3 linked regions of the Oryzias latipes genome follow. The protein of the gene in region 1 interacts with the protein of each later gene in a biochemical or structural test. Links are inferred from orthologs where the notes say so. Each region holds a gene or a part of one and is shown in the gene's direction. Other genes may lie near its edges. The genes, in order: heat shock protein HSP 90-alpha, activator of 90 kDa heat shock protein ATPase homolog 1 and usp19.

Region 1 (2,267 bases):
AGTAAGTGTCCGGACCTGCTGGATTCTATTCTAATCTGAGGTGAGCGGGGAGCAAAATGACTAAACTGAATTCTACTTTTCATTTGTCAGATTTCATCAGGGGTGTGGTGGACTCTGAAGATCTGCCCCTGAACATCTCCAGAGAGATGCTGCAGCAGAGCAAAATCCTGAAGGTCATCCGTAAGAACCTGGTTAAGAAATGTCTGGAGCTCTTCACAGAGCTGTCTGAGGACAAGGACAACTACAAGAAGTTATATGAACAGTTCTCCAAGAACATCAAGGTAGCTTTGTGACGCCACAAACCTTTCTGAAAGGTGTATTCCAGTTCATTTCCACTAACATACTATGTCCCCCTTTAGCTTGGAATTCACGAAGACTCTCAGAACAGGAAGAAGCTGTCTGAGCTGCTAAGATACTACACCTCAGCCTCTGGAGATGAGATGGTTTCCCTCAAAGACTATGTCACCCGCATGAAGGACAACCAGAAACACATCTACTATATCACTGGTGAGGCCTTGCTCCACCTGCATCTGAGCTGATTCTTCACCTGAGTGTTAGCAGATGATTGACGTCATGTTTTGCGGTTCAGGCGAGACCAAGGACCAGGTGGCCAACTCTGCTTTTGTGGAACGCCTTCGCAAAGCCGGTCTTGAGGTCATCTACATGATCGAGCCCATCGACGAGTACTGTGTCCAGCAGCTGAAGGACTTTGATGGCAAGAACCTGGTTTCAGTCACCAAGGAAGGTCTGGAGCTGCCTGAGGATGAGGAGGAGAAGAAGAAGCAAGAAGAAAAGAAAGCTCAGTTTGAGAACCTTTGCAAGATCATGAAGGACATCCTGGAAAAGAAGGTTGAGAAGGTAAGCAGAAGAACGCTTCTTTGGATGGCGGGGGGGTCTCCTGGTAGGATGCAGTCCTAATGCTTTAGTCCTTCCACAGGTCACAGTGTCCAACCGCCTGGTCTCCTCCCCATGCTGCATCGTCACCAGCACCTACGGCTGGACGGCTAACATGGAGAGGATCATGAAGGCCCAGGCGCTGCGCGACAACTCGACTATGGGATACATGGCTGCTAAGAAGCACCTGGAGATCAACCCCGACCATCCCATCATGGAGACTCTAAGGCAGAAGGCTGAGGCCGACAAGAATGACAAATCGGTGAAGGATCTGGTTATCCTGCTGTTTGAGACCGCCCTGCTGTCTTCAGGATTCACCCTGGAGGACCCTCAAACACATGCTAACCGCATCTACAGGATGATCAAACTGGGTCTTGGTAAGGAGTCCATCAAAAAGTTCAATATTTGAGTTTGTGTTTTATATCCTGATAGATTTTTAACTAATATTTTTCATTTTTACTGCAGGCATTGATGAGGACGACACACCGGTAGAAGAAACCACTTCTGCTCCCACTGAGGACATGCCGCCTCTGGAAGGCGACGACGACGCGTCCAGAATGGAGGAGGTGGACTGATCGGTCGGCTGCAGTGTTGAGATAGTTCCATGTACAGTTCAAATGTTAAAACGAGTTGTCATCATTTCTTTCCTTATTCCTCACGTGTTTGCATTTGCTCATTCAGAGCTGTTCTGAAACTCTTTATTCTTCAGATGTAACAATGTAATTGTTTTTGTATTTATTGACATTCTAATGTTGCTCTAATTTGTAAATATTACTGGAGGTTGGAATACCAGAGCACAGAAATAAAACTCTAAAGCAAAAACGTTTTGTTCTGGGGTTCTTTTCAAATACAAGAGATTTTTGGAAGGGAGACGTATTGATGCTTTTATTGTGAAGGGGAAATTGGGAAAGGAAGTAATTGGAAGGTTGAATGAATGCTGCCAATAATTAGATAAAGATCTAACAAAAATAAGAAACTTGAAGTGACTGGTTATCAGTTTTCTAAGTTATGAGACTTCAAACAAACCTATTTTTATTGGATCTTTAATTGTAATTACAATTGCATGACATGCAAACACTGGAAGTGTTAAGAGAAACACTTGAAATGCTGCAAAAGTCCAAAGTCCTCACAACATAAATAGTACAATATTGCCATCTAATTATCACTAATTTTGTTTGTCCTAACCTTTTGATATAAGGGTAACAGCAAATCTATAAACAGAGCTATCAGGTTTTTTTTAAGAAAACAAGGACCGAATCATGTTTTAGGCGTTTCCTGCTGGTCTTCCAGAAATCCTGCCTGATCTTCACCTGGAACAGGTGGATCAGCTCCAATAAGAAGCTTCAATGGTTGCAAAACATGTAGGACACTGG
Region 2 (4,392 bases), on another chromosome or scaffold:
CATACAGCTGAAAAACATTATTTCTTTCTGTCACATTTGTTTTAAAGGAAATACTAGCAGAGGCTTTGCCATTTATCTCACTAAAAAACAAGCAGTTTGTTTTGTTTATCAGTTACTTAGAATACATTTGTTTTTTTTACAATTGCCATAAATCTCCCAATTGTTTTCTTTATGACCGATGATGACGCTTCCCCTCCAAAACAATGGATTAATTTTAACTTTAAACAATAACAAAGTCAAAGAAATCTCATTCAAACACAGATTTTACCCTTCAAATCATTACCGATCTAAATTTAAAGTTGACTTAAACACCAGAAGGAACCGGAAACATGCTCTCATTTATTCTGGTCTGGATATTCACTCACAAATTATGGAAAAACATCCACAAATTCATCACAGACTCTATTTTTGCTTATTTTCAACTTTATTACAAAAACGTAATATTTGGTTTTCATAGTTTTGGACAGGAAGATGGTGATGCTTTCTATTTTAGAAACATGTTGTTATTCATGGCTAAATTATATCCTCAAGTCTTCGTACTGAAACTGGAACTGCAGCAATATTTAAAACTAATTTCTGCTTCAAAAAATAAAAAGGCTCAAAAAACGATTATCATCTGTAAATCTTTTGGATTAGTGACATGTTTATTACTCTTGCATTTCTATTTTTTTTCTTCTGTTATTAATTTTTTTTAGTTACTTATTTATTTCCTTCTGTGATTGCTTTATTTGGTTATTATTGAACACCGGTTTGTTTTAGAAATATATAATACTTATTTTGATTTGATTTGAAATGGTTTATTTCGAGCAATCAAATAAGAATACACAAAAACATTACAATCATCAGTTATACATTCATACAACAACGAATCAATCTTAGGATAATTAGACATATTAATAAATATTGCTTCAAAGGGAGTGGAAGGAGGCAAACTTATATAATTCCAGCCCTGTTCTACTGTAACCATTTTATTACATGATTTATAATTATTCGGTTCATAACTTTATCAGACAGAATTAAGAAGCATTAAGTGTCAATAAAGCACATGACAAAGATGAATTACTTAACTATTATGTAAAAAATAACTTTTAGAAATCAACATGGCAAATGCAGATCAGTTTTTCAAAATATATGCAGATTATCTTAATTATAAAAGTCATCGATATTTAAAAAAAAAATAACACTATTTCAGTAAAATAGACATAACACTGTTTCAGAAATTTTCTTAGCAAAATTTGATCACGTATCAAAAGTAAAAAATATGTGCAAAATTATGTTACATTAGGAAAAATCAAGTATCAATTTATCAATTTTTTGGAGCAAGTGAAGTAATATCATTAAAAGTCAATCAATGTAACCATTTTCAATAATTGATTAATCATTTGTGTTATTATTTTTTTTGTTTTTTTTTATTTACATAAAAAATATTTATAATTTTGTTCTTAATAGTTGAGATTTTCATACGGTCAAAACAATGTTATTCTGTATTCAGAACTCTGTTGTATTTCTTTATTGTATTGTTATAAATGTTGTTTTTTATTTATTATATCTGCAAATGTTTAATATATGTTTTTTTAATTCAACTTTTACCAAAATGTTCAAAAGTTTCTCTTGCGGAACCTCCTTTTATTGACGTCACTTCCGGCGCGAGGGAACTGTTTTCCTTCTTCTACAAAGTTCCGCTTCCAGCATTTTCTGCGCCCGGCGCATAAACGCGGCGGCACCACTGGAGGTTTCTAGAAGCAGCCGCGGCGTGTGGCGGATCCTCACCGGCAGAAGGAGCTGACATTCCCCAACGGTTAGGTTGCTGTAAACCCGGACAAATGGCGAAGTGGGGAGAAGGAGACCCTCGCTGGATCGTAGAGGAGAGAGCTGACGCCACGAATGTCAACAATTGGCACTGGTAAGGCAGGGCGGATGAAAAAGACCCCGCTGCCCGGCTGTAGCCGGCTAACACACTGCAGACCCCTCCGCCGTGAAAAGCCGGACTTTGACTCTTATTACCACGATCGATCAGCCATGTTTTTCATCAAACATCCTCCATTTTTCTGTCATGTATGTTTTAACAGGATGTTTATTCAAGCTGAAATGGGGTTTAGCATGATGATGTAGCAGCAGCGGACCCTCATGTCTCAGTTGCTACACCGCGTTAGCTAGCTGCTGCATGCTGATGAATGCTGCACGCTCTGTGATGACATCACTTCAGAATATGACAGAAAATTACTTTCTATATTTATATATTTAAGGTTTTTACGACTTTTTAGTGGAACCTTTTCATTAATAGTTCCATGGCAGGTTCAGATGCCCAATCAGGCCTTTAAACCCTCCAACCAATGAGCAACAACGCTAGTAGGAAAAGGCTGTTTTCTCATGTTTCTGAATCAGGCGTGTTGCACCTGCGCCTGATTCAGGCGCAGGTGCAACACGCCTGCCTGCTGCAGCCCTGATGCCAAAACCAAAAAAAAAACGGCACCGTTCGCTGCGTCTTGGCTGTTCCTTTCATCACCGTCTTCCCACGACTCGCAGGACGGAGCGAGACGCCACAAACTGGTCGACGGACAAGCTGAAGGCGCTGCTGCTCGGGCTGAGCGTGGAAAACGAGGAGGGGACGTGCGAGGTGACAGAAGTCAGCAAACTGGAAGGGGAAGCCTCCATCAACAACCGCAAAGGCAAACTCATCTTCTTCTACGAGTGGAACGTGAAGGCAGCTTGGACCGGTGAGTTCAAAGTTCAACAAGTTCCTTTGAGCAGAGTCGCTCGTTGGTTTTGTCTTCTCGTTTTCTTTTACAGCCCAGAATATTTCGGCTCATTTGATTAAAAAAAAAAACTAGGGAGGAGTTTATTTGACGTTTGTCTTCTTGTCCCCCGTAGGAAAGTCTAAAACAGGAGTCAAATACAAAGGAACCATCGAGGTTCCCAACCTGTCGGATGAGAACGACATGGAGGATCTGGCCGTAAGTCTCCGTCTGACCGGGAACTTTGTGCTTGGGGTTGATGGAGATGTTCTCTGAAGTCCGTCGTCTCTGGTTTGGGTCCAGATTTCTGTGATGATGAACAAAGACGAACCGGACACGCCGCTGCTGAGCCTGATGAAGACGAAAGGCGCCGAGAAAGTCCGCCAAGCGCTCGGAAGCTACGTAGACTTCTTAAAAACAGGTCAGGAGCTTCATAATCTCAGAGAGCTGTGTCTTTAAAAGACTGTTTTAAAAATACTTTAAAGTTTTATTTAAAGAATTCAAAGTTCCTATCTATGAAAAAATGCCTCTAAAATAACGTTTCAGAGCAGAGAGAAGTTGTTGCCCCTTTGGGTTAGCGGAGCCCGGTCTGACTTCAGCGTCACGCAGGTGTTGGCGCTTCGTTCTAAGGCGTTTCTGCATTTCAGAGTTCACACAGGGGATGATCCTGCCGACCGCCAACGGCGTGGCCAAGGTGCCGTCTGCTTCACAATCCAAAGCCAAGCTGGATAAAACCCAGGTTTGTTCTGCGCCGCCGCTTCAGAAGTGAGGCCTGCGTGGAGAACCGTCTTTGAAATGTCGCTCTGCTCGTGGCACAGATTTGCTCCGGCGGCAGCAGCAGCAGCGCAGCCGCTCCGGCCAACGCCGGCGTGAAGATCCCCACCTGTAAATTCAGCATCAGAGACACGTTTCTCACCTCGCCGGCGGATCTGTACAGAGTCTTCGTCAACCAGGAGGTGAGCCGCCGGCGCTCCGGAGCCGGTTCCCGCCGGGCTCGGACCGCCGTCTGACTGTCGCTGTTCTGCCGCAGATGGTTCGGGCCTTCACGCACAGCGCCGCGGCCGTGGAGGCGGAGAGGGGGGGCAGGTTTCGCCTGCTGGACGGCAACGTTTGTGGAGAGTTCACAGAGCTGGTGAGACCGCCGCTCGCCGTGAAAGCGTACGCCTGCTGCCTTCCTGCGTGGAAACGCTCAATGTAACGCTGCTTTCACCCTCAGGTTCCCGATGAGAAGATCGTCATGAAGTGGAGGTATAACACCTGGCCCTGCGGTGAGTGTCCCCACTGCACCAACGTCCACCAGCAGTGAGATGAGACCCGCAGAGTCTGTCCTATAGAACGGATAAACAGGGATTCAAACCGCTGACATTCATCTTTCAGTTGATGGACGCTCGCAGGGGAGCTGCGGGGTCCAGCAGGAGCGTTCTAGGAGAACATTCCTGCGCGCTCTCGTGATCTTAGCGTGTCAGTAGATCAAAGCTGACACGCTATGTGTTTTCCACGTATGACATGTGGGTCTTCCGTGATCCATGCGTGGTCTACGTCGTTCATCAGTGTGTCTTGTGTTCGTCATTCATCGATGTCCGTCGAGGGTTTTGATCGACGGGTCTTTACTTGAACACGGTTTGAGCTGTTCAACACTTTTGGTCGGTTGACAATT
Region 3 (3,654 bases), on another chromosome or scaffold:
AAGGAGAAGGGGGGTTTCCTGCACCTCATCATGCACAAGAAGATCCCCTTTCACATCTGGCCTTCTCTGAAGGTGAGCCCGTTCCCTACTTACCTAAAACGCTCAGCGCTCTCTAGCTGCACCGGGATGACTCTAAAGGTCCGTTTGCAGTGCGCCTCCGTTGATTGCCGTATTTTCACGACTTAAAAGGCGCTCTTGCAAGTCTAAAACTTTCTCCAAACTGTAGGGGGCGACCTATGAGGCGGTGCACCTAATGTGTAGTTTTTGGAGCGCCAAGTACGACGCACGGGCGCCTCTGCGCTCCGTCCTCGCCCTGCGGGCTCCTTGCCTCTCCCTTTCCACCCTCTCGAGAAGGAGGGAAGGGAGAGGGCTCTCCTTCTTGGGGGGCGCCGAGGAGGAGCACTTCGTGCCCCCCGATGTCCGGACACTGCACGGTCCGGGCTCGGCTGCCGGTGGACCGAGCGAACCTTGTCCCTGAGCAGAGTAGCCAGACTTATAGATTTGTTTTTGTGGGGAAGGGAGGATGCTTTGCTACGGTGTGCACTATGTGTCGGAAGCTTCGCACTGCGAGCCCAAAATGATTCCTGCACTTTACGCCCTGACCAGAGCTATGGTACAGCAGAAAGAGTGGCATCCCTGCCCTTAGACCCCCCCCCTCCTCAAAAGACAGACGAGCAGCGTCTTGACGCTAAAAAGCCTGTGGTTCTCAAGAAAAACATGAACATATACACATAAATCACATGCAGCTTTTCCCCAAACGTTTTGCTCACAAAGATGTTTGCTTTTAGATGCACTTTTAGTTCATGTATTTTATCCCTGGTCATTTATTTTGAGAGCAGTTTATGTCTTAAATAACTTAAAGGAAAGTTCCTAGCTACTTGATTTTTGTTTTCTGGGAGATTTTTATTTTTGTTTACACCACATTTGCAACAAATTGTGTCATTTATTTTTAACAAAGACACTATAATTTGTTCACAGAATTAATATCTGATTTACAGCTATTTTTTTTTTAAATAATGCGAAAACTATGGCTTTGTTTTTTCAAGGTTAACACCAATGTGCCTAGCAGCTACTTGACTTATTCTATTTTATCCTGTTTACAGCAATTTAGTACTAAATAATGGCTGCTGTTCATGTTCACTATTGTTTAAACTGAATTTTACAGATATTTCCAAATGAAAATGTCATTGTTTTGCAAAGACAGTATTACTGATTTCAGCAATGTTACACAAAAGTCTGTTATTCATTACACCAAATATGACACAAGTTGTTTATTATCATTGTGTTTAAAAACGAAAAAATAAATGGGGAAATATTTTCCCAAAAGCAAATTTTTAAGTTCTTCTTTCTTAAAGTTTGATATATTGTGAGTTGTTAGAGACGATATATATCGATTCACATTATCGCCATATCGTGATAGTATCGTTATCGTGAGCAATGTATCGTGTATCGCATCGTGATTCCCAGCCCGAATTGAAACTGGACGCTCCTGCAGCGCAGATGGCATTTGGTGAAAGCAGCTTCAGGATTTCACTAAGATGAACTGATGGTTGAGTCTAAATGTCTCCAAACTTTCCTGGTTGACATTAGTTAAACTGTTATCTCTGCTGTTTTAAACTGTCCCTAAAGTTTACATGAATCAACTAGGACTGCGCTGCTCTATATGTGAGACTGAATGACATTCTGTTGCATAAAAGTCTTGTTAAAAATATTAAAATACAAAGTTTGTGCAGGGGTTTGTGTATTTTTTTATGCATTTTTGACGAGATTTCATGGAAAATTTCAAAATATATTTGGTTAATGTTCTACAGGTTTTTTACTTTTTGCTGATTAAAATTGTTATTTCCGTTGTGTCCTGCTGCTGGTGTTGCTGCATTGATACCTTTTACTTATTTCTTCTCTGTTCTAGTCAAACAAGAAGGTGAAGCAGGCTGCGGCTTCATCAGAAAAAGTCCGACCGTCGTCCCTCCAGCCTCACCCTCCCTCATCACCTTCACACGGCGAGTCAAGGCGAAGTAAAGCCGAGCGGGGTATGAAGCGTTGCTTGAAAAACAAAGCCTGTGACAAGGCCCCCGCAGACCTCGCTGGGGTAAAAAGTGGAGCTTCAGAAACGACCACCAGGCCAGCCGCTGCTGTATTAGCGGGCGAGCCGCATCCCCAGGAACCCAGCACCAAGCGGCCCATCATACGGCTGCCCAAGACCACCAAAGGGGCAGAAAAGGAGAAACTCGCTGCAAAGTCTGCAGCAGTGAACGGCGGTAAAGCCACAAACGGGCGGAGCCCCCAGACTCCAGGCAAAGACACAAACAGCAGAGCAGAGGAGCGACTCACCGGTCAGGAAGTCGGACCTGAAGTCTCTTCTGCAAACAGAGCCCAGGTGAGACTTGCTCAAAAACCGTCTTAAAAATGGTACTTTGAGTTTAAAAAAACCTGGGCGTTAAACTTAAATATTAACTCTTTGAAGTCCGGGGCCTTTTTAGTGTTTTTATAACTTAACAATTGGCTTTTAAAGCAGTTTTATGTCATTGATATTCTTTTTAGGATAACCCCTGCTACTTTTTTTTAGTGATATTTTTCATTCTATTACACAGTAGCTTAACAATAAATCTGAAACTATATGAAAAACACAATTCGGTGTAATTAATTTAGTCTTTTTTCTAACTGCAAAAATCACAAACATTGAGAACAAATTGGTTTTATGTTTTATAACACAATCAAACAAGTATAGATTTAACCCCCAAAAATGCATAAAAATGTTTAAAAAAAAAGCATGGGCTGGGAGGACAATTCACAATATTGCGATAAAGTTATGATTTGTGATACATGAACAAATGGCAGAACAAAAGACAACTAAGACAGCAGGGAAAGTTTACACTTTCTTAATTCAGGAAAGGCTCAAATCCCAGTCAGGTCGTTAAAAAGCTGAACGTCTAAACCGCCTTAAACATCAGTCGGTCGTCTTTAGAGATCAACGCAGAATCTTTTGGTTAACTTTCACTTCGGTCTTGTTCTTTTTCTCTTCCAAAAGAGAAACCAGTCATTAAACCGATCCGGAGTAAAAGCACAAGTTAAAGACGAACAGCCCAGAGCTCCTGAGAGCACCAGCCCCTGCCTCAAACCCGTCTGCTTCAACAAAGAAGCAGACTCCGCCTCTGGAAAGCAGAGGGAGTGCACGAACTCCGAGGTGGCGGCGAAACCCGCCGAGCTTAGCCCAGAGCCGGGTCCTGTGATCCAGCAGCAGCTGGTCTCGACAGAGGCGGTCCAGAGCCACGCAGCCGGTCTGATCCAGAACAGCTGTGATGGAGAAGAGAAACGGGATCGGCCAAAGGAAGAGCCTCCTCTGGAAATCAGTCCGCTGGAAGGTTAGCCGGGATTTTTGGTTTCCTGCAAAATGTAGAGCATCATTCATCCAAGTTCATCCTCTGAGCTGTTTTTGAGAAAACAGTTGATAGAAATGTTTTTACCTGGTTTTTAGTAACTGAGATCTTAACAATCAGGGCTCAGGAAGCTTTTGATCTGTTGGTTTTCGTTCAGCGCTAAATGTGAGTTTCCCGATGTGTTCGTCTGTGCAGCTCCAGAGCCGATGGTCAACCTGCAGTCTGTGAAGAACGGCTCGTACGAGAAGGGCACCGATCTGATGGTGGTTAATGTTTA

Evidence for each region.
Region 2: the proteins of heat shock protein HSP 90-alpha (region 1) and activator of 90 kDa heat shock protein ATPase homolog 1 form a complex in vitro, tested with the Homo sapiens proteins (4 studies listed by BioGRID). The link is inferred for Oryzias latipes from reciprocal best matches to the Homo sapiens genes HSP90AA1 and AHSA1.
Region 3: the proteins of heat shock protein HSP 90-alpha (region 1) and usp19 form a complex in vitro, tested with the Homo sapiens proteins (3 studies listed by BioGRID). The link is inferred for Oryzias latipes from reciprocal best matches to the Homo sapiens genes HSP90AA1 and USP19.

The regions. Positions count from the first base shown.
Region 1 is NC_019882.2:17,298,657-17,300,923, forward strand, and holds the end of heat shock protein HSP 90-alpha, read left to right. Parts: coding exon 1-1; intron 2-90; coding exon 91-281; intron 282-359; coding exon 360-507; intron 508-589; coding exon 590-858; intron 859-937; coding exon 938-1,271; intron 1,272-1,359; coding exon 1,360-1,469; 3' UTR 1,470-1,716; downstream 1,717-2,267. UniProt on the Homo sapiens protein: Molecular chaperone that promotes the maturation, structural maintenance and proper regulation of specific target proteins involved for instance in cell cycle control and signal transduction.
Region 2 is NC_019880.2:21,589,031-21,593,422, forward strand, and holds the start of activator of 90 kDa heat shock protein ATPase homolog 1, read left to right. Parts: upstream 1-1,541; 5' UTR 1,542-1,823; coding exon 1,824-1,903; intron 1,904-2,526; coding exon 2,527-2,717; intron 2,718-2,871; coding exon 2,872-2,954; intron 2,955-3,038; coding exon 3,039-3,156; intron 3,157-3,382; coding exon 3,383-3,474; intron 3,475-3,553; coding exon 3,554-3,691; intron 3,692-3,765; coding exon 3,766-3,867; intron 3,868-3,951; coding exon 3,952-4,003; intron 4,004-4,392. UniProt on the Homo sapiens protein: Acts as a co-chaperone of HSP90AA1. Activates the ATPase activity of HSP90AA1 leading to increase in its chaperone activity.
Region 3 is NC_019865.2:4,259,648-4,263,301, reverse strand, and holds part of usp19 (ubiquitin carboxyl-terminal hydrolase 19), read left to right. Parts: coding exon 1-72; intron 73-1,909; coding exon 1,910-2,377; intron 2,378-3,028; coding exon 3,029-3,362; intron 3,363-3,572; coding exon 3,573-3,654. UniProt on the Homo sapiens protein: Deubiquitinating enzyme that regulates the degradation of various proteins by removing ubiquitin moieties, thereby preventing their proteasomal degradation. Stabilizes RNF123, which promotes CDKN1B degradation and contributes to cell proliferation.